Linked DNA regions of Tamandua tetradactyla. The protein of the gene in region 4 interacts with the protein of the main gene of each other region in a pairwise test. Links are inferred from orthologs where the notes say so. Each region holds a gene or a part of one and is shown on either strand. Other genes may lie near its edges. The genes, in order: U2AF2, HNRNPF, PARVG and TLE5.

What was found.
Region 1: the proteins of TLE5 (region 4) and U2AF2 interact in binary tests that used the Homo sapiens proteins (3 or more experiments, as listed by UniProt). The two-hybrid records come from large-scale screens. The link is inferred for Tamandua tetradactyla from reciprocal best matches to the Homo sapiens genes TLE5 and U2AF2.
Region 2: the proteins of TLE5 (region 4) and HNRNPF interact in binary tests that used the Homo sapiens proteins (3 or more experiments, as listed by UniProt). The two-hybrid records come from large-scale screens. The link is inferred for Tamandua tetradactyla from reciprocal best matches to the Homo sapiens genes TLE5 and HNRNPF.
Region 3: the proteins of TLE5 (region 4) and PARVG interact in binary tests that used the Homo sapiens proteins (3 or more experiments, as listed by UniProt). The two-hybrid records come from large-scale screens. The link is inferred for Tamandua tetradactyla from reciprocal best matches to the Homo sapiens genes TLE5 and PARVG.

What each region holds. Positions count from the first base shown.
Region 1 is NC_135342.1:4,094,989-4,102,071, reverse strand, and holds the start of U2AF2 (splicing factor U2AF 65 kDa subunit), read left to right. Parts: upstream 1-4,073; 5' UTR 4,074-5,049; coding exon 5,050-5,098; intron 5,099-7,083. Other genes in the region: CCDC106 (coiled-coil domain-containing protein 106), read left to right, coding at 201-231, 350-457, 548-724, 1,905-2,093, 2,581-2,897. UniProt on the Homo sapiens protein: Plays a role in pre-mRNA splicing and 3'-end processing. By recruiting PRPF19 and the PRP19C/Prp19 complex/NTC/Nineteen complex to the RNA polymerase II C-terminal domain (CTD), and thereby pre-mRNA, may couple transcription to splicing.
Region 2 is NC_135339.1:2,957,321-2,964,879, forward strand, and holds the start of HNRNPF (heterogeneous nuclear ribonucleoprotein F), read right to left. Parts: upstream 3,015-7,559; 5' UTR 2,882-3,014; intron 2,633-2,881; exon of another isoform or gene 2,500-2,632; intron 2,270-2,499; exon of another isoform or gene 2,054-2,269; intron 1-2,053.
Region 3 is NC_135333.1:38,397,573-38,404,645, reverse strand, and holds the start of PARVG (gamma-parvin), read right to left. Parts: upstream 3,018-7,073; 5' UTR 2,888-3,017; intron 2,179-2,887; exon of another isoform or gene 1,932-2,178; intron 1,200-1,931; 5' UTR 1,184-1,199; coding exon 1,105-1,183; intron 1-1,104. UniProt on the Homo sapiens protein: Plays a role with ILK in promoting the cell adhesion and spreading of leukocytes.
Region 4 is NC_135337.1:79,362,993-79,370,461, forward strand, and holds the start of TLE5 (TLE family member 5), read left to right. Parts: upstream 1-4,456; 5' UTR 4,457-4,526; coding exon 4,527-4,553; intron 4,554-5,427; coding exon 5,428-5,525; intron 5,526-7,469. UniProt on the Homo sapiens protein: Transcriptional corepressor. Acts as a dominant repressor towards other family members. Inhibits NF-kappa-B-regulated gene expression. May be required for the initiation and maintenance of the differentiated state.

The DNA.
Region 1 (7,083 bases), on a different chromosome or scaffold from region 4:
GACATTTCGCGTTCCAGCCCCTCTTCCCTCCACGCGCCCGAGTCCAGGAGTTCCCATTTCAGTCCTCGAGAGTCCGGGCCCCCCCCCCGCCCCCCCAGGGTGGACCCTGCGAGCCCATCCTCGCCCCTCTACCCATGGCTGCCGTTTCTGTGCAGTGCCCCTGAGGCGCTCCGCTGCCCGGGTCTGCCCCCAGCCGCGCCATGAGTGATCGGAACAGCCGGAGGAGGACAAGTGAGGAACTGGGGCCCCCTCCCGACCCTTGGTCCCAAGGCCCACCCTTCCCCCCAGGGTAGTGCGGTTGGGGGCTGGACCGCAGATTTCCCTGGGTGACCCCGGCTTCTCCTCTCAGTGAAGAAGGACGATGAAGCCTTGGAGATCTCCATCCCCTTCGACGAGACGCCCCACCTAGACCCGCAGATCTTCTACAGGCTGAGCCCATCTCGAGGAAACTTCGAGGGTGAGCTAGGGCCGGGCGCGCAGGGCCTCGAGCCGGTGGCACACCAGGCCGAGAGGCCTGGGGTGTGATGCCGCCGCCCCGTGTTCCCAGAGCCTCCGGAGGCGGCGTCCCCCACCCTGGCCCGGATGCACGGAGTCAAGGCCCAGCTGCACTTGGCCCTGGAGAGGAACTCGTGGCTGCAGAAGCGCATCGAGGACCTGGAGGAAGAGAGGGACTTCCTGCGATGCCAGCTGGACAAGTTCATCTCCTCAGCCCGCATGGATGCAGGTGGGCAGGGGGCTGTGACCAGGGAAGCTCCACTGAATCGGACCCCTCTGCCACCCACCCTCCTCAGGGATAGAGGCGTGAAGCCCCCCTCCTGGGTTGGGTGCATCATGTCTCCTGGTAGCCAAAGCTCTCCAACCCTGTTTGCCCTGGCGGCCCTTTCCACTGTTCCAAGTCTCCTATCCCTGTCAGCCCCCGCAAATCTTGCCCACCCTGACTTCTGTGCCCTCAGGCACTCCTCTGCTGGGGTTCCCTGGGCACTTCCACTTCGCAAAGACCTGGAGTCCAGACCTCCAGCGTCTTCCCATGCCCAGCTTGATGGTCCCGACTGTCCCCTCCCCTTGGCTAATTAAAGCTCCTTTCCTACTAAAGACCCTAGATCCCTTCCTGGCCTACTCACCCTTCCCTAGTGGAGCCTCAGGTCTTACTTGACGTGTGTGTGTGTGTCAGCATCTGTTATCCCTCCAGACCCTGCCCAGCTTCTCAGCACACCCCCTTCTGTTGCCTGGTTCTATTTCATAGCCAGGAGCTCTGGGGTGAGCTCCTAGAGCTGGCCCACCCCGCAGCTGGCCCTCCCTGAGGCTGAGCCCCCTGGCTGCCTGTCTTCTCGTGGGCCAGGTCCTCTGGTGTCCTTGGGTCACCAGCTCCTACTGTCCTCAGGAACAGCTGAGGGTATCCCAGCTAGTGCAGCCCAAGGGTGTCGGACTTTCTCTGGGGACCCCGGCTGGCTCCCTGTCTTAAAAGCAGTGGCCTTTCCTAGCCAGTCAGACACAGGGGCCTGTGATTGCCAAGGCCTTGCCTGCCCCAGGGGCTCCACTCTTCTGGAGGGACTGCTAGGGTCCCCAGAAGACCCCCTCTCTACTATGGGAACCACCTGTGGCCACAGCCCTGCCTTGTCAGGTAGTCCTTACCCAGAGGCCTCGGACACCCGAACTCTTCCCCTCGCAAGCCTCTTGCAGTTGTCCACTGAGGCACTGGCCAGCTTTAGGGGCCCTGCTGAGCCTCTACAGCCCGGGTGCCTTGGAGATGATGCTGGCCCTTGCAGGAGACCCTCATTTCGGGAAGTCCAGCCTCTTCCCTTCCTGGGACCCAGAGTTTCCCACGGGAAAGGTGGCGAGGCCTCGTGCCTTCTCTTCCCTCCCCCTCCCGCAGCTCACGTGTCTCCCTCCTCCTGTCCTCCCAGAGGACCACTGCAGGGGGAAGCCGGGGCCCCGGCGGGCTGAGGGCGAGGCGTCCGAGCCCGAGTCCGCGGGCTCGTCGCTGAGCGCAGGGTCTGAGGAAGGCAGCTCCAGCGAGAGGAAGAGGCAGAGGCAGAGGGGAGGTGCCACTCGGAGGCGGTTCGGGAAGCCCAAAGCTCGGGAGAGACAGCGAGGTAGGTGGGGCTGGGGTGGGGCCGTGGGCACCTGCACAGTGACCTTCGCAGAGGCCCTTCCCGGCAGGCCGCCGTGTCCCCCCCGTGAAGAGATCAGTCCTGGGGTACCTGCCAGCTTTGACGGCTTGTCATGACGGAGCCGAGAGCTGGGGGGAGGCTCTGCTCTGCTCTCTTCCTCCGCACTCCGGAGCCTTCCTTCTTCAGTTCCCCATGGTTCCACTTCGGTGTCTTGTCTCCTTCTCCTCTAATTCTTCCATCTTTTTATCCTCCTGCTTTCCATCTTGTTCACCTGCCCTTTCCTGTATGGGGCCCCTCGTCCCTGCTTCTCCCCTCCTGGATCCTCCTTCTCTGACTTCGTTCCTTTCTTCTGCACGCACCCTTCACGCCCCCCGCCTTTCTCCACCGCATCTCGGAACCCCGTCTGCACCTGTGTACCTCTATGTCTCCGGCCCCTACAGCTCTGACTCTCTGCCCCCCGCCCCCGCAGTGAAAGACGCCGACGGTGTCCTCTGCCGCTACAAGAAGATCCTGGGCACCTTCCAGAAGCTGAAGAGCATGTCGCGGGCCTTCGAACACCACCGTGTGGACCGCAACACCGTGGCGCTGACCACGCCCATCGCCGAGCTGCTCATCGTGGCGCCCGAGAAGCTGGCCGAGGTGGGCGAGTTCGACCCCTCCAAGGAGCGGCTGCTCGAGTACTCCCGCCGCTGCTTCCTGGCCCTGGACGACGAGACGCTCAAGAAGGTGCAAGCGCTAAAGAAGAGCAAGCTGCTGCTTCCCATCACCTACCGCTTCAAGCGGTGATGCCCCCGCTCAGCCTGGCCGGGTTCCACACGGCTACTCTCGCAGCCCCTCCAGCCCTGTCCCCTCCTCCAGCCTCCCCAGCACCCGGGCCGCGACGGGAGAGGCGCACCTCTCTCCTCCGCCTCTGCAGCCCCTCCCGCCCCAGGTGCTCGCGTACACAGGTCTTCCCCTCCTAGCACCCGCCTTTCTCTCTTTCTCTGGGCTGGGGTCTCACTCAGCCAGACTCTGAAGAGCTTACTGCCCAGAGGGCTTGTTTCTGCCCTTCCCTAAGCACTGGTGTCCCTCTCCAAAAAGAAAGTCTTTGCACTTGCGCTGCACTCATCCTGCCCTCGCCGGGCACCTTTCCTCCTGGGAAAACTGGGAGGCGCGCTCTGGGAGTGCCACCTTCTCTCCTAGCGTCTGGAGGGCCTGTATGTACCCGTCTCCACCCCCATCCGCGAGAGAGGCTGGCCGGACCCCTCCCCGGCCGGGAGCTCCCTACGCATCTTCCGGACCACCCTAATTCCCTGTGAGAAAGAGAATTATTCAGAGAATTTAAATTAAAGAGAGACGACAAAATTTGGAATAAACCAGGCCCTAGCCTCTTCCTAAGAGGGGGTGGCTGTTGCCACGGAAACGCTGACGGGGGCTCAGGGGGTTCCAGGGAGCGGGCGGTCGGGCGGGAAACGGGGAGATGCGGGAAGACAGGCTGTAATTAGACCCCCGGAGGCAGAGGCGGGAGGGGAAGGAGCAGCTGTGCCCCCAGGAACTCCGAGGGGGCAGAGCTCCGGAGAACAGGCGTGAACCCTAGCCTCCGTGCCATTTGGAAGTAGAGGCGCCGCGGCAGGAGGCGGGACGCAATGACCTCTAGTCCAAGAGGCCACCGGGGACTAGGGACTCTTTGGGAGGACGCTTCCGCACGCCCGCAAGGCGGCGATAGCGCCAGGTTAGCCTTCTCCCGGAAGTGGGCGCTTCGCTGCCTCCTGCGCCTGCGCACCCGGGATGGAGCGCGCTTACGCAGTTGCTAGGGCAACCAGGGGAAAGCGGCCGGGCTTAACGGTTGGGAATTGGGGACCTTTTCGCGCACCCGCGCAGAAGGTTCTAGGCATCCGTCTCCCTACCCAGGCAGAGAAAATCTCGCCTCCGACCGACCTCTACGCAGGCGCACAAACCGAACTCGCGCCCCGCCCCTTCCGCCCCGCGCAGGCGCAAAAAACCGCGCTGACAACTCCGCAGCGGCCGCGCGCACCCTTCATCTCGCTGCCTGCTTTTGTCTCGCGCAACCTTTTCGGCCCATCCGCGAGATCGTTCCTTCTTTTCTTCTGTTCTCCCCACCCGGAGAGCCAGGTGTGGAGAAGTGGGATTCCGCCCCTTATCGCGTCCTTTCCCTTGACCCACCTCTCCTCCGTCCTCCCTCCCTGATCAGTTTCCGAAGCTGGAAGGAGCCGAAGCGCCGACGGAAAAAGCCGAAGCTGTTCATCGCCAGTGAGGTCTTCCCGAAACGGCCGCGGAAGGAGCCGAAATTCTCCGAGAAGGGAGGAGGGTGCGAGTGGAATTTCCGGAAAGAGCCGAAGCTTGGAATTGCGCGTAATCGCTGGCGGAGCCCGAAGACGAGCGCCGGGAACCTTCGGAAAGTGCCGAAGTCTGGGACGGTTAGGATTGTCGGAAGTAGCCGATTCTTTCCAGAGGGCAGGCGCAGACCGGGGGTATCTGCGGAAGGAACCAAAGATTGGGACAGTTTGAATTGTCGCAAGAAGCCGAACCCTTAGAGGAGGCTGAGAGTGGAGGAACGTGAGGTCCTACGGAAAGACCCGAACGTTGAAGACCTAATCTCAAAAGTTACGGGAGCCTGGGAAGCCGGCAAAGCCCTCGCTTCGGGGGTTTTCGGAGGCAGCCGAAGCCGCCACTTTCCGACCCCTTCCTCTGCTGTCCGGAAACAGCCGACGCATTTCCGAGCGAGGCTTAGGGGGCGGGGCAGTTCGCGGGTTGGCGGGCGGGGACAAGGGCGGAGCCGGGGCGGGGCGGGGCGGGGTTCCGGGTGCTTGATTAGGTAGGAGACAGCGAAGCGCCGGCGGTGGCCGGAAGTAGCCGAAGCAAGCGGCGGAAGTAGCCGAAGCGGGCGGGCAGCAAGGCGAGGCGAGAGCAGCACAGGCCCCGACGCGGCCGCCTCAGCATGTCGGACTTCGATGAGTTCGAGCGGCAGCTCAACGAGAATAAGCAAGGTGAGGGCGTTGGGGTCATGGGGCGACGGTCGGGGCGGCTCTCCACTTCCCTCCCTGGCCCCCGCCATTTTCTCCCTCCTTCCCCACCTCCTCCGAGTGCCGCGCGGTAACCCCCCCCCCCGCCTCCGCTCAGCGGCGCGCGCCTCGCCCACGTGACCTTTCTCTACGTTCCGCCGCGCGCGCGGCGAGACGAGGGGCGGCGGGCGCGGACCCGTGACGCATGCGCGCCGCTGCGTCTATTCCCTCGCCCCACGTGGCCCTGGGCGGAGGCAGTGCGAGGGACTGGGGCGCAAGCTAGCGAAGTGTCTTGAAGCGACTACTCTTTCCCGTAAAGGAGTTGATATTAGGGCCCGTAATCTCTTCTTTTTCTTCCCGCTGCCCTAGCACTTCCGCTTCCGGTTGGGTCCGCTTCTCAGTCTCCACGCCCCCTTTGTTTCCAAAATGGCGTCTGTGCGCTCTTCCCCCCCCCCCTTCACGTGGGCCCTATGCGTTAGGCCCTTCGCCCGGCTGCGTGGAGGCCGCGCGGCTCTGTCTCACTCCTTTTGCATGATTTCTGGTTAAATTTGCCTGTCAGGGTGTTTTTACCCTCCTCCCGCCATTGGTCGTGGGGCGCTTATTTGACCCCTGCTCCTTCGTGTAAGTACCCCTCTCGCAAGTACATTTACACACGTGGGGACTTCTGGCAGTTCTGGCAGTACCAACATGGAGTGTTTATCTTCCATCCTTTCCCCACTTGAGAGAAGCCCCAAATCCTGTTGTGCCCCTACGCTAAGAGTACCCAGCCTCGGCCTCTTGTATCTTAGCACAGAGGTAAGGAGACAGGTTCTGGGTAAGAGTGACCTGGCCTAGGTGGGTAGAATTGGGAAGGGTGGGACAAAGGTGCCCTTCAGGTGGCGCCGAGGCTTGTGACGGTTAGAACAAAGTACGGGGCTGTGCTGGTGCTGGTGCTGGTCAGGTTAGGAAATTCAAGTATATTAGACTTTGGGGGAGTTGGTAGGTGACTTCTTGTACTTCCTGTCTCCCTAGTTTGGTTTAAGATTGAAGACTTAGGGAAGACTGAGGTTTTGGTTCTCTTGGTGCTTGAGGCTTGAGTTGCCCATGTCTCTAGTTGGAGCCTTTTCTCCTTCAGTTCTTCAGAGGACTGGACTGTATGAGGGTTCAGGAATTCTCGTTTGAGCCTAGGCTGGACTTGGATGGGTGATGGCTGGGTTAGGATCTAGTGCCTGGGGAAGGGAATAACGTTTACTGAGTATTCACGGTATTTATATTTCATACTGCTTAAAAGTACAGGCTGTGGAGTTAAGTACACACCTGGGTTCAAATACGTGCTTGGCTGTTTAGTAGCTGTGCTACTTTAATACTTTTGTACTTGACTGACCATCGTCATTCTACTGTCATAGGGACTTCGAGAACATTAATACGAGTGGTAGTAATAATAGTTGTGGTTAAACTCAGTGCTTACCATGTGCCACACACTTTTTTAACGCTCTTTGTATGGTTCTTCTAAGTGCATCCTTGTAAGGGCTCTGTGAAGCAGAGATTTCCTTCCTTTTGTAGAGGATATGGAGGCTCAGAAAACTTAGACTTTACCAGATCTTAGGTGGTCAAAGATGGCTGAGATTAAACGGGTTAACATAGGTAGTTTGGTGTGTGCCTTGGCATATGCTAAGTGCCCAATGGATGACATTTGTTATTGTGAAATCATGGCCAGCACAAGCTTCTACTTAGGCAGATCTCAGCCTACTCCGGGATTGGGTCAGAGGTGGAGAAGCACGGGGAAAGGTGCTTTCCAAATGCTATCCGGCCAAGTCCTGACCCTTCCTCAAGAAGTGCAGACTAGGTCTTTCCGCTGTGTGCTTCTGTGTGGTTGGTGAGCAGAAAACGTGATGTGATGTTGAGCTCTGACTGGCTACAGGGCCATGTATCCATTCTGCTGTGCATGACCGTGAAGTGGTGCTGCCTGAGTTGTTCCTTGAGACTCTTGA
Region 2 (7,559 bases), on a different chromosome or scaffold from region 4:
TTCCTTTCCTCAACAGCATGCTTTTCACATGCTATTTAAGAGCGTTTCCTAGCCTGAAGCCATGCAAACATTTTCTTAACGAATGTTTTGTTTTTACATTTAGATCTATAATCAAATGGAATTGGTTAGAATTGTTTATTCAATTTTAAGGCTAATTTCAACCATGAACCCAGATGCAAAAATCCTAAACATTAGCAAACCAAATCCTACAACACAAAAAGCCATAATATATCATAATCAACCAGGATTTATTCCAAGAATGCAAGTGCAGCTGATTATCTAAAAATTAACTGCTTATTTCTCAATAAAAATACTTAAGTCGATTGCTGCAATTTGTCACATTTAACAGATTAACGGAGACAAAATGATTTAACTAAATTTTTTCATGTTTATGAGAACTGCATAAAGACACTTAACCTCATAAAAAATCAATGAAAAATTTTAAAAACGAGATAGATTTATCACATTAGCAAAAATACAGAAGTTTCACAACATATCTTAATGGCAAGGTGGCCCTGTCTGGATTCCACCTCTTATCAACTAGTTGTTTATTTGCTATATTGTACAATCAGGGACATCTCAACACTCATATGTGATATCAAGTAGTTATTAGTAAGGTGTGGGAGTGGTATTATGGGTTGTTTTACGAGTCGTTAAAAATAGAAACTGAAATATTTATGACTAAACGACCCCTCTCATTTCCACAGCCCCTCCAGGCACTAACCCAGATCTCCACGGTGCTGCCACATCCTATGATTATTTGCTACCCTTATAAAAATTCGCATTTTTACCTACATATTTTTAAAAGAAAGCTTTGCAACACTATAATTAAGTGAAAAGGAGAGCCGCTTACCAGTTTAAAAGAATAACCAAAAATAAAGTCATTAACAAACCAATCATAACTAAAAAGGAAAGCATAACATGTAAATGATAAAGCTAAACAGTTTACAAAATGCGTACGGGACCATTAAGACCTCAAAGGCGAAGGATAGACTTCCTTCACGCCCGTCTGTAATGCAACAATCTCTCACAATATTAAGAGTAGAAATTCATGGATGCCTTAGATTGGATATTTCTATAGCCTTCCTTTAATTTGGACGCTTTCATGTCCTTAGAACATGCAAACTTGCAACTTAACAAATTCCCCTTCTTAAAGGCCAAAAAAAAAAAAAGTAGAAACTCATTTTACTTTAAAATGAAAATATCTTGGTATGCAGAAATTAAGAATGAAAGCAAACTTCTAATAGGAACTCAGATACAGTTTACTTTTATAAAACTGTCCCAAAAGTAGTCTTACCGAGTTGGCTACGACGCCCCGCGGCCTCCCAACCCTCCAGTACGCAGCCCGCCCGGACACGTGGCCGCCCGGCGGTTGCCTCCCGCCATGGCGGGCTGACGACCCCGGCCGGAAGCGCGTCCTGCACCCTCGTGGTGCCGGGCGAGCACGTTGCTGCGCCAGGCGGCCGCGAGGCACGCTCCGAGGAAGCCCTCCGCCCTGGGCGCCCCCGCGGGGAGGCCACGAGACACGCATCCCCCACCCCACCGCGGACGCACGCGGGCTCCCAGCGCGCCGGGGACCCGGGCCCTTCCGGAGCCCCCAATTTAAGCCGCGGACTTCAAGGAGGAAGAATCCGTCAATTCCCACCCGGACCCTCCGAGGGCGGAAATCTAGGCCAGAACCCCTCAGGAGGGAGGGGGCGACTGCGTGGGGCCGCCCCGGCCGCCATCCGAGGTCGCACTCTCCGCGACTGTAACCCCCAAGCCGCTCTGACCCCAGCCGTCACTCCCTGGGCGGCACTGTCCCAGGATTATAACTCCCGGGTCGCCACCTCCGGGCCGCTATGAACCCGGCGGTCCCTCCCACACTGTTCTGACCCCGGGCCCGGAACTTTTCTAGAGAAGGAACGAGTAAAAACCGACCCAGAACCACCAGCAAGGAAACGGAAAGGAGAGGTAACCAGAGCCCCGGGAGACCGCCCGGCAGCAATGGGGTCACGAGGCACAGCATTACACGAACAAACGATTTCCGTCCCCAGTCCCTCAAACACGGTACCTCTGGAGCAGCGGACACCGCACGACGGGGACGCTCGGGCTAAACTGCCAGGGGAGGCAGACCTCGAGGGAGCAGGGCGAGGGAGGGCCCTGGGGCGCGGGAGGTCGGCGGTCCCTTCTCTGCACACCAGGCCCAGGCACTCAGCTACGCCAGGAGCCCGAGCCCACGACCGAAGGAGCCGGCTGGCGCGACGCTGAGAAGGGCTGAGGCCGGCGCGCTTCCTTCCGGGTGCGCGCCCCGCCCGACCTGAGCGCGGCCTGCAGGCCCGCCTCTTCCCCCGCCCGGCTCCGCAGGCCCCACCCCCGGTCCCCAGGCCCCGCCGGCCCCCAGCTGGCGGCCCTCGCCCTCACGCTCCGCCTCCCACTGGGCCCCAGCCCCGCAGGCCCCACCCTACTCCTCGCAGACCCCGCTCGGCCCCGGGCTTGCGGCCCTCGGCCGCCCCTCACCGCGGGCTCCGAGTCTCCACGCTCCCGCTCTTCACGTCCGCACCGAGAGGAGGCTGGAACGTGCTGGACTTGGCAGTTGTAGCCGAGGCAGTTGAGGCTTGTTTATCGTCACCATGGAAACCCCCCCACCTGGCAGCGCGCCCGGGGCGGGGCCTCTGAGGGGCGGGGCCTTCGGGCGGCGCGCGCGTCCCCAACTCCCGCCCGCCGAGCGCGGCCGGCGCTTCCGGAAAGTCCTCCTCTGCTCGGCGTCCCGGTCCAGCTCGGCCTGCTCGGCGCAGCGTCAACTTACGCCCCTGGGAGCAGCAGCCCCGCCCTGCCACACCCCTGCCCTGCTGCCGAGTGCCCGTGTGACGGCAGGTCGGCGCCCCTTCTCGAGCCTCACCTGCTTCTCCTGTGAGACGCGGCGCAGTCCTACTTCTTCCCAGGAGCCGGAAGGCCGAAGACCACGACGGGGCGGATCCCGGGGCGGGGCCTAGATGGTTGGACCTGGAGGCGGGGCCGCGAGGGCGCTATTGTGACGCAGCGGAGGCCGGGCCCGGGATTGGTCAGCACGGCTTGAGGCGGTGCCTAAGCCGGCAACGAGCGGCAGGACCCGGGGCTCTTGCCCAATGGCATGACGACGATCCTTGGCTCCGCCCTGGCCTAGAGCCCCCACCGCCAGCGACGCGAACCCCCCTGCTCTTCAGCCGCGGGGCCTCTTGGGAGCTGCTTGGTCGCGGCGCCTTCTGGGAGTTGCGCGGGCGCGGGGAGCTGGGCCTAGCGTGGGGGGAAGGGCGCGGCGGGAAGAGACCCCGTGACCCCGCCTCAGCCTTGTGAGCAAAGGCCCGGAATCTCGGCTAAAAGCCAACCGAGTGCTCCCGCGGGCTTGCGAGGAGGTAGTGGGTCGTTTTCGGATGAGAAGGAAATGGAGGAAAGAGACCCTTTAGCCCGAGGTTTTTGGAACGTGTAGTCAGGTTGACGCACGTTGGCCGCTTCCTCGTCACGCGGGCCGAGAGGCGCCAAAGCCTCAGGACGTGACTCAGAAGGGCCTTGCGGGGCTCCAGCGCCGGGTCCCTGAGCGGATGCACGGCGGCCTTTGGCCTCGGTGTCTGTTGTTTCAGGGCTCGTAAGCATTGCCGGGTTTTGTTTACCTCCTCGTAAGGTACCGAGGCGCTTGTGGCAGGTTAGACAGGAGAGTATCAGAGTCCGAACACAAGCCGTGCTCGGAGTCGTCAGTGCATGGGGCGCCCCTTCATGAAGAAAGCGGTTTGTCAAAAGAGGCCGCTTCCAGGGAAGAGGAGAAGTAGGAGCTGTCGGGGGGCGCAGACGTGCAAGGAGAGAATGTAGTAAATTGAGGCAAAATTACAGAAAACAGGTCTTCCAAAAACCAGGTATTCCTAAGAATCCCACACCTTATTTTCCAGAGAAGTCTCTATCTGGAAAGGTGGATGTTTAAACTGTCCAGAAACATCGCTGCGTTCGGCACTGCGAGGCCTCGCCCGGGGAGGTTTGGCCCCGCGCTCCCCGCGGGGTGTGGGCGTCGGCCCTCCCTGCGGTCTGAGGCCACCCTGAGTCTGACCCCGTAGTCTCAGGGCTTCCCGAGGTGGAGGGCCGGGTCCTTGGCCTGTTCACCACTTCCGCCTGGCCCTAGGGAGCCGTCCCAGGTGTTCACTAGTGTGCCTTTTCAGAGCGGAGCGTCGCACAGGTGCCCCCGAGGCCCAGGAGGGCCTTCCTCCTCCTCCGGGGTGGGGGCGGGGCCTTCCTCCTCCGGGGGTGGGGGTGGGGTGGGGGCGGGGCCTTCCTCCTCCGGGGTGGGGTGGGGGCGGGGCCTTCCTCCTCCGGGGGTGGGGGTGGGGTGGGGGCGGGGCCTTCCTCCTCCGGGGGTGGGGGTGGGGGCGGGGCCTTCCTCCTCCTCCTCCGGGGTGGGGGCGGGGCCTTCCTCCTCCCGGGGTGGGGGTGGGGCCTTCCTCCTCCCCGGGGGTGGGGGTGGGGTGGAGGCGGGGCCTTCCGCCTCCGGGGGTGGGGGCGGGGCCTTCCTCCTCCGGGGGTGGGGGGTCAGGCCCTGCGGCAGAGCCTTCCCACCGTGTCCAGGCTGGTCGCGTCCAGTCATCCTGGACCACCTCCGTTGCTGTGGGAATCGAGCAGGCTGCTGACCTGTCTTCACTTCTGGTCCTGGTGGGCTGTGTGCTCAGAGGTGTCTCCCCTAAGCTCTGGGATCTGAAGAGGGACCTGTTTTTGGTTCTGGAGAGTCCCTGCCCAGAGATGGACCTGTAAGACCTTTGCTTTAAGAACAATTCACCACAAATGTGTGCACAGGTATGTGATGACACGGTGAGCCCTACATTGTACACTGTGTTTGGACTGTGTGAAAATTTGTCAATAAAAATATTCTGTAAAAACTCACCACATATGTATAAATTTTTTTGTTTTTGTTTTATTTCTTTTTCTGAATAGATGCAAAAGTTCCAAGAAGTGATCATAATGATGAATATGCAACTATGTGATGAATTTGTGAATTAGTGATTATATATGTAGAACGAAATGATCAAAATAGGAATGTTTGCATTTGTTATGTGTTTTTTGGTATTTAAAAAAAATTAAAAAGAATTAAAAAAAAAAGACTTCACCACAAACGTAGATTATGCCAAGGTATATTCTCTTACAGATTGGTCCTTCTGTCTACATTTATATCATTTTGTTTTTGTAAATAGATCAGTATGTTAAATTTAATACTTTTCAATGTGTTTTATTTTATTTATTTTTTTTGAGTTTTTAAAAATAAGTTCCTTTTGCCAGGACCCGGCATCAAGGGATTGAGAAGGCTTTCTTGAGCAAAAGAAAGGAAGAGAGAAATGAAACTAAAGTGACTGAGAGTTTTCGAACACAGTCAAGAGGTTAGCCTGGAGGTTATTGCATATTGTGTAGATATCCCTTTTTAGTTTATAGTGGAATGAAGTGGCTGGAGGAAATACGTGAAACTGTTGAACTGTGTTCTGGTAGCCTTGATTCTTGAAGACAGTTTATAACGATACAGGTTTTACAATGTGATGTGTGATTGTGAAAATCTTGCTCCTTTTATCCAGGGTGTGGACAGATGAGTAAAAAAATATGGATACAAAATAAATAATAGGGGGGATAAGGGGTCAATAAGAGGGAGGGGTTTGGTATGTATGAGTTTTTTCTTTTTATTTCTTTTTCTGGAGTGATGCAGATGTTCTAAAACTGATCATGGTGGTGAATACACAACTATGTGATGAACTCGTAAGCCATTGATTGTACACCATATATGGACTATGTATGTGAAGATTTCTCAAAAATATATTTTTTAAAAATTAAAAATAAGCTGCTCCTGATTCTGAAGCACTGGCCAAGTCTGGAATCAACTTACCCATAACAAATGGTGCAGAGGTTTGGAGAGTATGGTGTCTTATAGTTTTCAAGCACTTGAAAAATCGCTTTACTCATTAAGCTTTGAGCCCCTTCCCTAGAACAGTGCTAATAGGTAGGGAGGAATCACCAAGGCTCAGAGAAGTCATTTGCTCAAAATCACAGTATCTGTTAAATAGCAATCATGACAATAGCTAACATATTTTGCACCTTCTCTGTAAATGAACTATGTAAATAGTTCATCTCATTTGAGTCTTACACCAACCAAGCGTAGATATTATTATCAGCATTCCTAGTCACTGGAGGAAAACTGAGGTAGAGTCGTTCCAGTCATTTGCCTTAGGTCTTTCAGCTTGTAGGTGGTAGTTCTGGGCATCGAATGAGGCAGTTTGGTTTCAAGGTCTGCTCTTAACTGCTGCATTCTAGATCCGAGGAGAACTAGGTCTTTAAGGGTGGCTCCCAACCCCCTTCTCTGCTTCTCTTTCCCATCCAAGAGGAGAGAGTGTAGGAAGTGAGAAAACAAATTGAACAGTCCAGCCACAGTATAGGCCCTGTCTGTCCAAATGTAGCATTTTCCTTGAGACAAGGTGGTTTATTAGGCAGAGGAGGGAAAAGACCAGAGGTGAACCTAAGACGCTTTGGGGGGAAATGTAACCTGTGGAACTGGCAATTGTAATCCATTTTCAGGGTTTTGCCTCAATTCAGCACTTTTTTCCCAGCTCAGAAGCAGGCAGATACAGCAGTCAGTCTTATCTGGTTAGTTTTCTTGACCCTTACAGAAAAAAGGGACTTCTGAAGGAGCGCATGTGCCCATACAGGGAGTCAGCATGAAGGCGGAGCAGCACATTAACATATCTTAAATAGTGGAAAAGGGGTAATGGCATTTCCTAAGCTTGATGGTTGGTTATTTATGTGAATCACTTTCTTTGGTCGGCAACAGACTGCAGGTAGACTGGGTAGGGGTGGGGGGGTGGAATGCCTGTCTTCCTCTGCCCACTTCCCCAACTGGCCGGGCTGGCTACTGCAGCCCTAACAGGTACATTAGGGAGCCAAGTTCTGGCTCTGTGTCCACGCTGAGGCATAAGTTTTCCCACTAAGAACTACATACAGTGCAGTGCTTCCACCTCTGCTGGGTGAGGAGGCCCAGGACAGTTAGAAAACTTCATTCTGTTCAAGATGTGTTAGTGGGCCCTGGGGTGGGGAGGAGAAAGTAGCTTGCAGGTTCTTATTCCCTCTCTGCTTCTGTCTCTCTTGCAGTAACTTCAAATTTTAAAAAATTATGAAATGCTTAAACACATGGGAAATTAGTAATAATATTGTAACAAATGTAAGATATTGACGTTTTGCCATATTTTATTGTTTTGGAACCAAAAAAAAATTGCAGATGAATCAGTGCTCTTCACTGCTTCAACTCTTTAAAAAGCACTTACTGTAATACAATTATACCACTTTAAAAGTCTTTTTATTTTGGCACCATATATACAGCATAACATTTCCCTTTTTAACCACCTTCAAGTGTACAGTTCAGCGGTGTTAAATTCCTTTACAATGTGCTACCATCACTACCATTCATTACCAAATCTCTTCCGTCACCCCCACAGAAACTCTTCACCTATGAAGCAAGAACCCCCTATTTCCCGCCCCCTGCCCCTGGTCCCCTTTACTCTGTCTTCTGCCTCTATGAATTTGCATAT
Region 3 (7,073 bases), on a different chromosome or scaffold from region 4:
ACTTTATGTGTCTCTAAATCAACTATAAAATACAGAAAAGAACATTGTTCAAATAACTAAGCCTAGCACTTTAACTCAGCAACCTTCCTTGCAATGCTTTCCAATCTTAAACCACGTATAAGCAGGCGGGAACCCAGCCCATCGTGGACTTTGCCCTGCTTCTCCACTCACAGAGGGAGCTTTCACCCACCGCTCCCGGGAGCCCCACTTGGCACTGGGGTTCTGAGCCCACAAAGCCGGTTGAAAAGGGCTACATTCAGAGGACATGGATAATTTTGCATTCTGCTATTTTCACTTAAAATTATTTTACACTTTTTCTTCATCGACATATTGCTTGAATGGTTGCTTAAAATTCTAGTGAGTTCATTTCAACACCCTCCTCCCCACTGGGCCATTTGCATTGCTTCTGATCTGGTTGTGCAGTTGCATGTTTGTTTCTAGATTATGACAACATGATCAACAGCTTTGGGTTCTTGACCCTTTACTTGTTCTGAATCATCTCTCAGGAGAGCAATTCCAACGGCAGTGACCACAAACTCCCTGAACGAGCTCGTAAAACAGAAATTCGCTGAAAGAGCAGCCCCCATTCATTGAATTGCTCCGACCCTATGCCCACTCCACTTTTAAAGAGACCCTCACTTGCAAAGGGAGGAGACTGATGGACCCACCACCGCTGCAAGATGCCAGCTGTCTCGGGAAGTCAATACCACACGGTAGTGGTGGGACCTGAATCCTGGAGCCACACTCCTTGGATATTACTCTCAGTGGCTCAGTTTCCTCATCTGTAAAAGGATGGTGATATCAACACCCCTTGTCACCCCCATGATCTGCTGCATACAAGTAGGCATGCTGAACGATTCAGCTATTCTCAGCAGCAGCTCCAGCACCACCCCTAAGCCGGGGATGTGAGCTTAGGAGAGACGTGGAGATAACCACGGAAGGTTCTGGAGTCAGGGAAGCTGGCGAAGTATGAAGCAAGAGGAGTAGGCAGGGGGTGAACAGGTGTGTGTGTTCAGCAGACTACTGGGAAGGCAGTTATTCCAAGAGGTCTGTTTGGCTATTGGGACGCTGACCCTGCCCCGTGGCCCAGCCTGGGCACCGCACCTTGTAGGAGTTCCTTCTCTGCTGGCGGAGCCACACCTTTAGGGAGCTGCAGCAGGTGGTAGAGGGGGTCTGGTTCCATCTCCTCCTTGCCTGCCCTGGAGGATGCAGGGGACAGAAGGTATCATTGTCCCAGAAACCCCAACTCACACTGTTTGCTTATTTGCTCCAAATCTAGAGACACACAGAGAGGGGTGATAAGTCACTGGGCTCACCCAGGCAAGGGACCAGGGCTGCCTGGTGAGAAGGAGGCACTGAGCCGAACCGTGTAGCATGACCCGGTAGAGAAAGGCAGGCAGGCTGGGGCAGGGGGCAGCCTGAGCAAAGGCTTAGCAGGGAAATGCACTACCCTCCCCCACCACCCAGTGGGTACAAAGCTGCCCTTGTCCAGCATTCTCCTGCAGCAACTGCACTGCCCAGAAACTCACCCTCCTATACCCATCCCAGGCAGTCAGCCCACTCCTCAGAGCCCAGGATTCAGAAAACCCTTGGGCTGAGCTCAAGGGAGAAATCTGGGGCCAGCTTATGCAGGGCTGGCTGAGATGAAAACACTGATCCACGGCATCGGCCAGATTGTGAGCTCCTGGGAGCAGGGACTGGGAAGGGTCACTCTGGCCCCTGAGCCCAGACTGGCCCGTGCAGGGGCCATTGCAGCCTCTGGTGAGTAGTCATCACCCACCACCCATGCAGGCTGGGATCTCAGAGGGAGGCCAGGCCCTGGCCAGGTCCCCCAGTTCTGGGTCTCCTGCAGGAGGTTCTCAATCCTTGTCTCTAAAGTGGGGGGTAGAATTCCCAGTCTTTTGGAACAGATGGGAACAGCCGACACTTACAGAGTGGGCCCAGTTCCTCTCTGTAGCCTCACCGTGGGAGTGCTGAGATTGCCCCATGCCGGGGAGCGCAGCAGATGCAGAAACCAGCCCCAGACCTCTTTCCTGTCCCCTGCCACTTCCTCTCCTGGGAGTGGTTTTGCCTGCTCTGCAGAAGGCTCTGCTCCCCCTCCTTCTCTTCAGCTGCTGGGTCTTTCCCAGCATGACAAGCCCACACAGGCCTTTAGAGTTGGGGGAGGGAGGTTCACATAGCAGAAGCTGGGGGTCAAAGCCTCCTTCCAGCAGTTGCAGCCCCCTGGAGGCCTGGGGACCACCTATGGCTCCATCTTGCTCTGAAGGGAAGAGTGTGGAGAACATGGCTGCTGAGGCTGAGCCCTGCCCCCTCAATCCTCAAGCCTCCTGTTGGACACCAGGGTTCTGGCTCGATGGACATGACCAGAGAAGTAGCAGCGCTGTGGCCTGGAGCTTAGGGGTTTGGGTTCCAGGCCAGCTGGAACCTGGCTGTGTGTCTTTGCATAACCCCCCTCCCCTCTCTGGTCCTGACACAGAGTAGAAACAGAGCTGGGGACTGCCCAGCAACCACAGTTCCGTGCAATCCCTTCCCTGCTCCTGGCCCCAGTGTCTCTATCTGAAGACCGGGGAGACCTTTCTTCCCACGAGTTGCAGAAAACTCAGAGACAATATCGTGGAGTGGGACAATGGTCACCTGGCTGTGCCGTGGGGTAGGACTGTGTCCTTCTACCTGTCGGGTTGGGTCCCTCGTCCGTCAGTGGGGAGGTGGGGAGGAGTGAGCAGCCTCTCTGCTCGGGGTGGTGGGAGGGAACCAGGGGTTCGGGGTGCTGCTCTGCTCTCTGGCCTGTTTCCACCTGGAGTCTTGGACCCTCCCCCAGGGAGCACTGATACCCAGCATCACGGCAGGTGGGGGATGCCCACGGGGGGGCCCAGATGCCAGGACTCACTTGGCTGCTTCCTCCCCCAGAGGAAATGACTTGGCTGCCGTAGCTCAGATGGTGGTCCCAGGGTCTGGGTTTCCAAATGAAAGCAGGTTCCGGGTTCCCAGGTACCCCGGGGGCTGCAGGAGGCGGGCAGGCCAGGGGGCGGGGCGGCCGCTCACTTCCTCCTGGGGCCTGTGGGTGGCTTTGCAGGGCTGGCCCTGGGGAGCTTCCTCCTCCGTGTGGCACAACACTGGGGGAGAGGATGCTTCGACAGGGATGCCACCACAGACTTCCAGAAAATTCTGCGCCACCTTACATCCTGGCCAGTGCATGCTTCTCCACCACCCAGCCCAGGCCCCTATCCCTCTCCCTTGGATCATGCGGAAACCTCCACACAGGACCCCCTGCCACCAGCTCTGCTTACCACTGCATCTCCCACTTGGAGATTTTCTCTACCAATAGCCAAAGCACTTAAAATAAAGCCCCATTGGCCCATTCTAGCCCATAAGCCCCAATTTGGCCCACTGGCTTCATTTCCACCCTCCCCTCCTAACTTCTCCCACCCTCACACCCTCCCAGCCCTGCCCATCTCTTTTCTGTTCCTGGAAAGTACCAGTTCCCTTCCTGCTCCCATTGTCTAGATGCCCCTGCCCCAGCTCTTAGCATGGCTGGATGCACGTCCTTAGCATCAGTTTAAATGCCTCCTCCTTCAGGAAGCCCTCCCAAACTGCCTTATCTAAAGTTGGTCCTCCCTGTGATCCTTTACCACAGTTCCTGAAGGTTCTCTTCATGGCACTTACACCTGTGCTGTTTATGTTAGTTTAGCTAGTTCAGTTAGCTGACATATAGTACCCATCTTCCCCATCAGAACATATGCTCCATGAAGGCAGGGCCCACATCTCACTTGCTCACTGTTGTGTCCCAGCGCCTAGAGGAATCCCCACACAAAGTGACAGCTGTTATTGCCTAGGGGATCAGGAGGGCTTTTCGGAGTGGGCCTTGATGACCACATAGGAGTTTGCCAGGTGAAGAAGAGTGAGCACGTTCGAGGTAGACAGAAGAGCCTGGGCAAAGTCCTGGAGGAGCTTAAGGAAAGACAGATACCAGGAGAGTAAGATAGACAGAGAACACTTCAGACCTGAGCTGGTCACGAGGGCACAAATCTCCATGAATCAGACCGAAATTATGAGTTCCATACCAACAGGTGATAGTGCTGAGTGACCAGGAAGCACTCTGCTGACAGATCGGTCAGAAGAAGGGGCCAGATTAGGTAGCAGGAGGGAACAAGGTTGTGTGAGAGCAAGGTGGGGTTGTGTATGAGAAGTTATTAAAAATGTCAAAAATCACTACTGGTGTTATTGCCAATATTTATCAAGTAGCTTGCTATGAAACAAATTATTTTAAGTGCTTTCATTTTGGTGGTGGTGGTGTGTGGTCCAGGAATCGAACCTGGATCTCCCACATGGAAGGCAAGCATTCTACCACTGAACCACCCGTGCGCCCTTTCAGTACTTTAATTTTAAGCTGGACCTTTAAACTGGAAGGTCAGTACTGTTACCATTCCCACATGACAGACAAAGAAACTGAGACACCTGATTTTGTCTCCACCATCAGATGCACCTGTGTGACTCAGGGATTTGTGCCAGGGTAGGGAGAGAAGCAGATGTGCTTGGGACATCCGTTTTGCTGGTATGGGCAGAGAGGGTGCAGATGGCTTTGGAGCCACTGGTTCCAGGGACAGCTTGGAAAGCCTGGGTGCATCAATCAGGGTGCTGGAAACAAGAGGCGGCTCACTCAAAGCTGTAATTGAAGAGTGCTCATATAGGGATTGTTTGGGGAGGGTGAAAGGAACCCAGAAGTGATGGCACTGCACCCCAAAACTCACAACACAGGGGAGCTGTTACAACTCAGAGCCGTGAGAAGCAAAGGAAGGAGTGAATACCAAAACCCCGAAAGGAAATTAGTGAAGGTCTAAGAAGGGGGCCACCAGATGGGAGCTGGGTCCTCTGATAGGGGGGCATGGCTAACCCGTGGTGACCTGGTGGGGCAGAGGCAGAGACAAGGAATTCCCCGGCCTCACTCTCCTCCCACACTCCTCTCTCCGGCCAGGGACTCTGGCTAGCCAAATCCAGCTGGAAGCCAGAAGCAAGAAAGCCCATTGATGCAGTCCACAGAGGTCAGGACAGGAAACGGTGGATCTGAGGAGGCAAACGGAAGATATTTGGCCCAGAAGTTATAATTCTGGAGCTGGTGGTCAGTGCAGCAGCTTCTTGGCCCCTTCTAGGGCCAGCTCTGCCAGATCATTCGACGACCTGTTCCTGCAGCCTCAGCCCCAGCCCCTCCTGCAGCCCCCAATGGCACCGTGACCATCTCATTTCCCACATTAAGGTCCTTTCTGTTTAAACAACTAAAACAGTTCCAGTTATCTGCAACCAAATCCCCACCAATGTAGGATTTGTTACCAGAAATACTTGCAGGCAGTATATCCTTAAGGATGGGAATCTGGGATGGGTTACTTGTTCTGGTTGCTTTAAAAACAGTGAGGATCCAGTAATTACCATTAGGTAGCAAAATTATAGTAGATCATACAGTGTTCTATATACAGCGGCAAAACAATTACCTGTAATCACCCAGAATTAAACACCTATTAAAGCCCCAGATTTGGCAGACTGACTTGTGGCTTCTCTATAGAGTATGATAAGCCTGCGTTATTCAAGGATTGTGGGGTCAGCTGGCACCTTCTCATCACACCAGAAATAAAAAAAAAAAAAAAAGAAAGGAATAAGACATCCTCAGGGTTTTAAACTCCTGGTTCAAGGTATGTTCAGAGTAAGAGGGCATTCCTAAGATAGCACTGCCTCCAAAGAATCTCCTTTCTCTTGTAGCTGCAGGACTGATCAAGCTGGAATCAGATACAGCATGGGAGCCCGGTGGGAATTCCAACACAGCCTCCCCATGTTTCCGAAGTGAAAGGGAGGGACCCCAAGAACTGAAATAGTCTGATTCTTTCCCAAACCCCAGAAAGAATCCTTGCAGTCACAGCAACCTGACTTCCTGTGTCTGATGGCAAAGACATTTCCTTGCTAAGAAATGCCGTAGTGACCTCACTGTCACTACCACTGTACCCCACACTGTCTCCATATCAATAATTGCAGTCAATTCTAGTCCGTCCTGGGAGAATAAGTACAAAGTCAAACCTGAGAGGAGGGGGCTTATGTACTTTTAAAAATTGCACAACTATGCTCATTTATCAGCAAATAAATGTATGGGGGATGTATAATAATGGTCCTGGGCCAGGAAAGAAGTGATATATTTTTAGATCCAGATGCAGTTATTAATAGAAATGCACATACTGGAGAGTCTAGATTCAGGGACACTAGCAAGAGTAGCTAGACAGGATTCTAAATTGCTTTCTAGAATCATTTGCTGAACATGGAATCAGCAGTGGCCTGCATTGAATGAAAATAGGATGGCAGCCATACCTTGGTATAATGTAGAAGGACATTTGAGTGTCTCTGTCATGTTAACCATGTCCCATGAGAAAAGCCAAAGCACAGTCCCTTTCCAAGTCTTGGAGGATTCACTGAAAAGCACTGGAGCTCAGGAATGACGTTGGAAGATGCTGACGCTGAAAAGGGCTGCCTGATGGCAACGGCATTGATGTCATCCAGAGTGGTAAAGGTCAAGGGCAGTACCCATTCACCTGAAGCAAGGTGGGTGTATCAGTTCGTGGTTGCTGCATAACAAGTCATCCCAAAACTTAGTAGCATAAAACGACCATTGTTTTATTTAGCCTATGATTCTGTGGGTCAGGTTGGGCAAGTCTTCTGATATGGAACAACTTGGGTGATCTCTACTGGGCTCTCTCATGCATCTACGGTCAGCTGCTAACCAGTTATCTAGAATGGACTCCCTCATGTGTCCAGCAACTGCCCATCAGGGTCTGGCTGATTGTTGACTGTGCGGCCTCACATTTCCAATAGGCTAGCTTGGGCTCATTTACACAATGGTTCCAGCACAATAAGGGATGGCAAGCCCTAGTACACAAGCACTTTGCAAATCTCTGCTTGTTTCACATTTGCTATTGTTCCCTTGGCCAAAGAAAATCACATGGCCAGTCTAAGAGTTGGTATGGGAAAGAATGACCTAATAGCTACAGGAAGAGGATTATGGCAGGCAGTCTACCACAGCAAGCATGGAAACCAGAGAA
Region 4 (7,469 bases):
CCTGGCATACAGTAGGTGCTCAATAAATGCTTACCAAGGGATTCAATGAATAATAGCTCCACGATGGGGCTGAGGATGAGGGGAATGCGCCGGGTGGTAAACTCATACTGCCTGGGGTCACCTGGCCAGGTAGCAGCAGACAGGGGTCAGAGTTGGGGGGACTTGAACCCAAAGCCGACAGCTGAGGTCCAGGCCCCCACCAGGTCCTTCCTGGGCCTCATGCCACCTGTTTGCTCCCACCTCTGACTGATGACCACATAGCTCCCTCCATCCATCACAGCGGGAAAGATGGTCCCAGAGGGTGGGAGACAGCAGACAGAAGCCATGCCCACCCCCTCCCACCCCCTCCTTGGCCCTGGACCTGATGCTAAGAGCCCCAGAGGTGGACATGTGGGGGTGGGGAAGCAGGCCTGCCACCTAGGGCACTGTCCTCTCCCAAAGCCCCCAAATCACACAATCGAATCTATTTCCCCCTTAAAGAGCTTCGGCTTTGAGTGATGACAACATTTTCCTCAAGGAAGGTGGTGGTGGCAGCACCCCACTGTAAAAGAAACTGATGCCACTGAATTGGACACTTAACAACGGTTCCAGTGGCACATTTCACGTATTATAGGCGGTTCCACAATTAAAAAAAAAAAAATGACTCCCTCCAAGGTTTCAGCTTTTTACCCTTTCTCTTTCCCTCCAGGCCCATGTGGATTTTTTTGTGGTCCCCAAAATTCCTCCTTATTCTGGGCTCAGCCCAGGCCTGTCTTTTTTCCAGCCTTGGTCTCCTGGCCTCCTGCCTTCCCTTCCTCTGTTCAGGCCGCCAGCTGGAACCTTCTACACCTAGTCTGGATCAAGTCGGAACCTTCTACACCCAGCCTGGGTCAAGTCTCCCAGCTGCTGTAACTCAGTGGTTCTCAACTGGGGTGATATTATCTCCCCCAGGGGACACTTAACGAGATCTGGAGATATTTTTGGTGGTCAGGACTGGGGATGGGGATGCCCCCGGCATCTGGCAGATGGACGCCAGGGAGGCTTGCTCAACACCCTAAAAGGCCCAGGACGCTCCCCACCCCAGCTAAGAATGATCCTGCCCCAAATGTCAGCAGGGCAGAGGCTGAGGCCCCTGCTCTAAAACCCCCCATGGCTCTCCAGTACCCTCAGAGTAAAATTCCAGTTCCTTAGCCCAGGATGCGGGGCCCTGTGTGGCCCCTGACCCTCTCCAGCCAGTTTTCCCACCCACCCTGACCTGTTTTCCTGCCTCTCCCTCCCTCTGAAGGGCAGGATTTTGTAGTAGCCAAGGGCTCAAGCACCTGGGTTTAAATCCCGGCCTTGCCATCTACCAGCTGTGTGACTTTAGCCAAGTTATTTAACCTCTCTGTGCCTTGGTTTTCCCGTTTCTAAAATGGGCATGACAGCAATAACTAAGACTTAAAGGGCTTAAGAAAAAGTCTGGAATGAGCTGGGACTCAGCATCAAGGGATTGTGAAAACCTTGACCAAAAGAGGGAAGAGAGAAATGAGACAAAATAAAGTGTCAATGGCTGAGAGAGGTCATCCTGGAGGTTATTCTTACGCATTATATAGAAATCACCTTTTTAGTTAAGGTGTAATGGAGAGGCTGGAGGGAACTGCCTGAAAATGTAGAGCTGTGTTCCAGTAGCCATGTCTCTTGAAGATGATTGTATAATGATATAGCTTTCACAGTGTGACTGTGTGATTGTGAAAACCTTGTGTCTAATGCTCCTTTTATCTACCTTATCAACAGATGAGTAAAACATAAGGAATAAAAATAAAAATAAATAATAGGGGGAACAAATTGTTGAAATAAATTTAATTTAGAAGATTGAAATGCTAGTGATCAATGAAAGGGAGGGGTAAGGGGTATGGTGTGTATGAATTTTTTTCTTTTTTTTAATTTCTTTTTCTGAATTATGCAAATGTTCTAAGAAATCATCATGATGATGAATATGCAAATATGTGACGATATTGTGAGTTATTGATTATATATCAAGAATGGAATGATCGTATGGTAAGAATGTTTGTGTTTATATGTTGTTGTGTTTAAAAAATAAATTAATTAATTAAATAAAAAAGAAGAAAGCATCTGGAGCATAGTAAAACCATGTAAGTTGGGTGGTTTATTATTACTTATAGTTTGGGCCACACTTCTTGACTTATCTACACACTGGAAACTCCTTCTTCTGAAAATGACTTCCCCTTTCAAAGGCAAAACCTGGGGTCCTTCTCTGTGGCCTAGCCCCAACCCCCTGGGACTCGGGGTGTCTGTATTGGGTTCTGCCTTCCCCCGACGATGGGGGTGTTGCCTCTGTGAGGCTCAGATCCAGGGGACACCCAGAAGAAAGAGCATCTGGTTGCCATGGTGAGGGGGTGGGGACAGGAATTGGGGCAAGGCTGATTTCATGGGCCCCGAAGGGCCTCCAGTCTGGTTTACCTCCCCAATACTGCCATCTGGGTATTCTAAATACTTTTTCAAGAAGGGGACCTGTAATTTTCATTTTGCCCTAGGGGAGGCCCCCCACAAATTCCGTAGCCAAGTCTGGTTCAGGGGTTCCGTTCACTCTGTGGGTTCCGCTGATTCCAGAAACTGACAAGAATATCAAGGAACTTTACTAAAGTCTGTTTTTTTGCTTAGTGTCAGGACCGAGGACAGCTTTGCATTTGCCCAATATGCCTGGTCCTCTCATCCTAATCCTGGCCCTTTTCAGATTCTGTCTTTATGCATGATGTTGACATCTTGTTCATCTTGCGTGGATTTTTATTTTAAAAAATACCACATTAAAATATCTTTTATCTTACACGCGCACAATGGAATATTATTGTACCTTAAAAAGGAGCGCAGCTCTGATAGGTGCTATAAAGTGCGTGAACCTCGACGTCACGTTGAGTGAAAGAAGCCAGGCACAAAAGGACAAATATCATATGATCCCACTGATAGGAAATTATTTGAATATGCAAATTGCTAGAGTCAGAAATTAGAATACCCGTCTACCATGGGGTGGGAAATGGGGAGTTCATGGGGAAGGCATGGAAAAGTTTTTGAGGGGATGACGCAGCACATTATGAAGATAACACCACCGAACTGTATACTTGAAAGCGGTTGAAACAGGAGATGTTATGTTGTATTTCCATTAGCACGATAATATTTTTTTAAATAAGCACAAGAAAAAGGAACATGTATGTGCATTATCTGAACAGCTTCAGTGAGGAGACTCTCAAAACCAGGGACAGCTACCCCCTCCCCCTCCCAGGGAGCCCACTTCCCTGAGTACAAGCCTAATAATTCCTCCCCATAACCCATAAAGTCTTGCAAACGTGCTCATCACCTCCTTGTAGGGACCAGCTACATAATTTGCACATCCGAATGCAAAAGGAAGCTGCAAGGCTTTTGTTCAAAAATTATGAAGAATGTCAAGAGGCCAGGGCAGAACATAAAACCTCCCTACCCTAGTCTCTTCCTCCATTCTCCCAGCGCCAGGCCCCATCCTGCCTCAGGGCCTTTGCACTGGCTGTAACAGTTCTCTGAATCTGCTCCTCCCAGCATATCCCCATACCCCTATGGGCTCCCAGCCTCTCCTTCTTCAGGTTTGCGAGTCCCTCTCTGATCTCCCCCTATTTAAACTGTGCCCTCTCATTGCCATCTGCACCCAAGAATTTGACCAGTGTATTTGTTCTTTGTGCGCCTGTGTCACCTCCCCTCCGTGGCCTTGGCACACAGTAGGCGCTCAATAAACGCCTGCCACAGTTACCACCGACTGCTCTGACAACGACGAAGAAACTGAGGCCCACAGAGGTTGGCCGCTGGGCCAAGGTCATCGAGTCCAGGTCACGCCATTGTGGTGCCCGTGGCTAGGAGGCTGGCAGTCCGGCCCTTTCTTTGACAGGTGGGGAAACCGAGGCGCAGCAGGCGTGAGGAGCATCCCACCCCCCACCCCCAACCCCTCACCCCGGCCCGGCTGGCTGGGAGCCCAGGGCGGTGGACGCGCCGTGTCCAAGGTCACCGTGCCGGGCCGGCCCCGGGGAGGGCGGGCTGGGGGGGGGTGGGGGGGAAGTGGTGGGGTGGGGGGGAGAGGCAGGCGGGGGTGGGGATCCGCAGGCCTCCCCGGGCGCGCGCTCCCCCCCCTTCGGCGGCGCGCACGGGGCACGGGAAGCAGCAGCAGCAGCAGCAGCAGCAGCAGCAGCAGCAGCAGGTGGAGCCGGAGCCTCCGCAGCGCCGAGGCCGCGGCCGCTGCCGGCGTCGCCGCCATTAGACAATAGGAGCGGAGGCCGCGAGTGCGGGGCGGGGCGGGAGGGAGCCCGGCGCGCAGGAAGCGGGGCCCGGGGCGCGCCGGGGCCGGGCGCGCGGGGAGGGGGCGCAGGAAGCGGGCGAGGCCGGGCGCGGGAGGCGGCGGCGGCGGCGGCGGCGGCCCCGGGAGCTGCCGATCGGCGCCGGGACAAAGGCGCGGCCGCCCGGCGCCCGGAGCCGCCCGAGCCGGGGGCGCACAGCCGGGGCGCATTGCGCGCCCCCCCGCCGCGACTGACATGATGTTTCCACAAAGCAGGCATTCGGTAAGCGGGGCCCGCTCGGCCCGGCTCCCCCTTCCCCCCACCTCCATGCCTGCTCCGGGGCCCGGTTCCCTTCGGCGCTCTAGCCCTCCACCCCCCACCCCACCCCACCATCAGCTCCGGGGCCCCGCACCCCCCACCGAGCCAGGCCTTGGCCTCGGGCGCTCCGGGAGCCCCGTCGGCACCCGTGGCGCTGGAGATCGTTTTGGGGCCTGCGGGGTGGGGGGGCGGGGTGGGGGGGGGCGGGAAGGGCGAACCAAGGGGCACCCCTCCCGGAAGAACGCCGCCTCGGGAAGGGCAATGGAGCTCTGGAGTGGGTGTCCCCCCACCCCCGCCCCGGAAGATTCGGGCGCTGGGAGAGGCCCTTCCTGTAAGGAGACTTTGCAGGGAGGCCTCTCCCCCCCACCCCCCCCCAGTTCTAGCTCGAGGAGGGGACTTTCTAGGACGCGTCCTTTACCTCCCCCTCCACCAGGGGCGGTTAGGGCGCTCGGATGTGCATCCCCGCTCCCCCCCCTCCCTCCACTCCCGGGGAGCTTTGGAGGAGCTGTAGAGGGCGCACCCTGCCCCCACCAAGGGCGGGCCTTAAAACGCACCCCCACAATCGGGGGTGGCGGGGGACTAGGCGGCTGCGGGCGCACCCTACCCCTCGGCTTCCCCCGGGAGAGGCGGGGGCAGGAAGCGGGGGCAGGGGCCGCGCTGGGGGCTGTAAACACGGGCCCAGGAAGTGGGGCAGGAGCGGGGGTGGGGGCGGTTGGAGGGCGGAGGGGGCGCGCTGCAGCTGCGGCAATCGCCGCCTCCCGGCCGGCCCGCGCGGAATTGGAAGGGAGGGTGGCCGGGCCCCCTCCTGGCGGTGAACCGGGCGGCCCCCTCCCCGCAGGGCTCTTCGCACCTACCCCAGCAACTCAAATTCACCACTTCGGACTCCTGCGACCGCATCAAAGATGAGTTCCAGCTGCTGCAGGCCCAGTACCACAGGTGAGCCGCGGGCAGGGGTCCCAGGCTCTGGGTCGAGGGCGGGGGTGGGGGTGGGGGTGGAAATGTGTCTGAATCCTACTCCCCTCCCTTGTACGGAGGGCAAGAAGGAGGCCTGGAGCCGAGATCTTGGCCTCTGTTAATAGACTTATGCAAACAATGCAATCATAGTGGCTCTCATTACAGCCACCCCATTCCTACCAAGTCCTGAGTACCTTACCGATATTGATATTAATTCGTATATTTTTAAAAACTGCCTCATCTCACGGATAAGAAAAATAAGGCACGAAAAAAGTTAAAAGATATGCCTGGCCTTGCAGCTGTCTGGCTTCAGAGCCCCAATTCCACCATCCCTAATGGATAAAAGACCTCTGAACAACTGAAGTTCCGGGATAGAACCCCCTGCCCCAGTCCCCCTAAAATGCTCTCTGCCAAGATTTGGGGAGAGGGTTCCTGGTTTCCAGCAGATTCTCAAAGCTGAGTCTGTGGCCCGAATTTCATCTAACATTTCTAAAAGGCCTGCCATGTGTCAGGTCTAAGTGGATGGAGCTTTTCCTTTCTTCCCATTAGGCTTAGGAAAAATTAAACCCAGAGAGGTTAGGGGATTCCTCCAGGATGCACAGCAAGCACGAAGAAGTAGTGAAGCTGAGATTTTGAACCCAGTCTAAGAAAGCAAATTCTCAACCTCTCTGCCCTGGTGGGTGGGGACTGGTCTGGGAATCAGGAGTTCCATGGTCACAGAGCCCAGTAAGACCCTGGGCCATCTCTGGGACTTAGTTTATGCACTCATAAAAGTGATCTTTGAAAGATCCTGGATTTTTTCTAGGAAAAAGTGGGAAGGCCGATTTTTTTTAGTGCAAATATCCACCCTTTTGGGGTTGTCCCGTATGCTAAGCACTGAACATGTTCCCTCTTGTTTAGTCCACCCCACTGTGTTGCATGCTGTCCATTATAAAGATAGGGAAACTGAGGCATAGAGGGTTGAAAGCATTGGAGGGTGTGGGGGCTTTGCCTGGTAGACCTGGACATTCTGGGTCCAAAGGGGGGCAGTTTCTCCCGCCACCCTAGCCCATGCCCACCTCACCCTGAGTACCCCAGGTATAGTCCCAGTACTGTCACCTCAGGCCCGCTGGACCCCCTTCTAAGCTTTTGCATCTCCTGCTAGGCCTGGGTGACCCATGAGGGGCTTTCCCTTTTCGGGGGCACATACAGGACCTGCCAAGCAGGACCAGCCCAGTTTCACCAGATTGTCTGGCCGGTTCATCAAGAATGGCCGGAAGTCCTGAGAGTGGGGATGAAATTGCCTGAGTTGTTTTGCTTTTGTGGTTTTTTTTTTTTTTTCTGGCAACAATTGCACACTTTTAAAAGAAACTCAGAGAAAACCAACTTTAGCGGGGGCCAAAGAAACTCCAACCTTGGGCATGTTCACATCGCGGGCCATGTCACGGTGTAAAATACCGGTGTCCCGAGGTGGTGAGAAGATGAAGCTGCGTTAATTGAGCGCTTACTGTGTGCCAGGCACTGTTCAAAGAGGTCTCCTCGTCTTAATTCACTTTAATCCTGCAAACCATCTTGGGAGGTCGGTACTTTGCAGATGAGTAAATGGAGGCTCAGTGAGGGAGGAAAATTTGTCCAGGGTCACACTGCAAGGAATTGGCAGGGTGAGTTTTGAACCCGGGCCCTGTGGCTGGGGAGCCTGTGCTTTGAACCACTCTCTGTCTCTTGTACAACCAGGGGTGACAAAGGTAGACCCTGCATACCCCTTGCTGGATCAGATTTAATGGAGTAAAGGAAAGAGGCTCGCCACCCCCTCCCCCCCCACCCCACCCCTGGGCCTTTTCTCAGCTGATTGACATCATTGCTAACTCTCTCCTTCCTGCTCCGAGGCCCTTGTGGGGGAAATACCCACAGCTTATCTTTGCTGGGGGAGCCAGAGAGAGGCAAGAT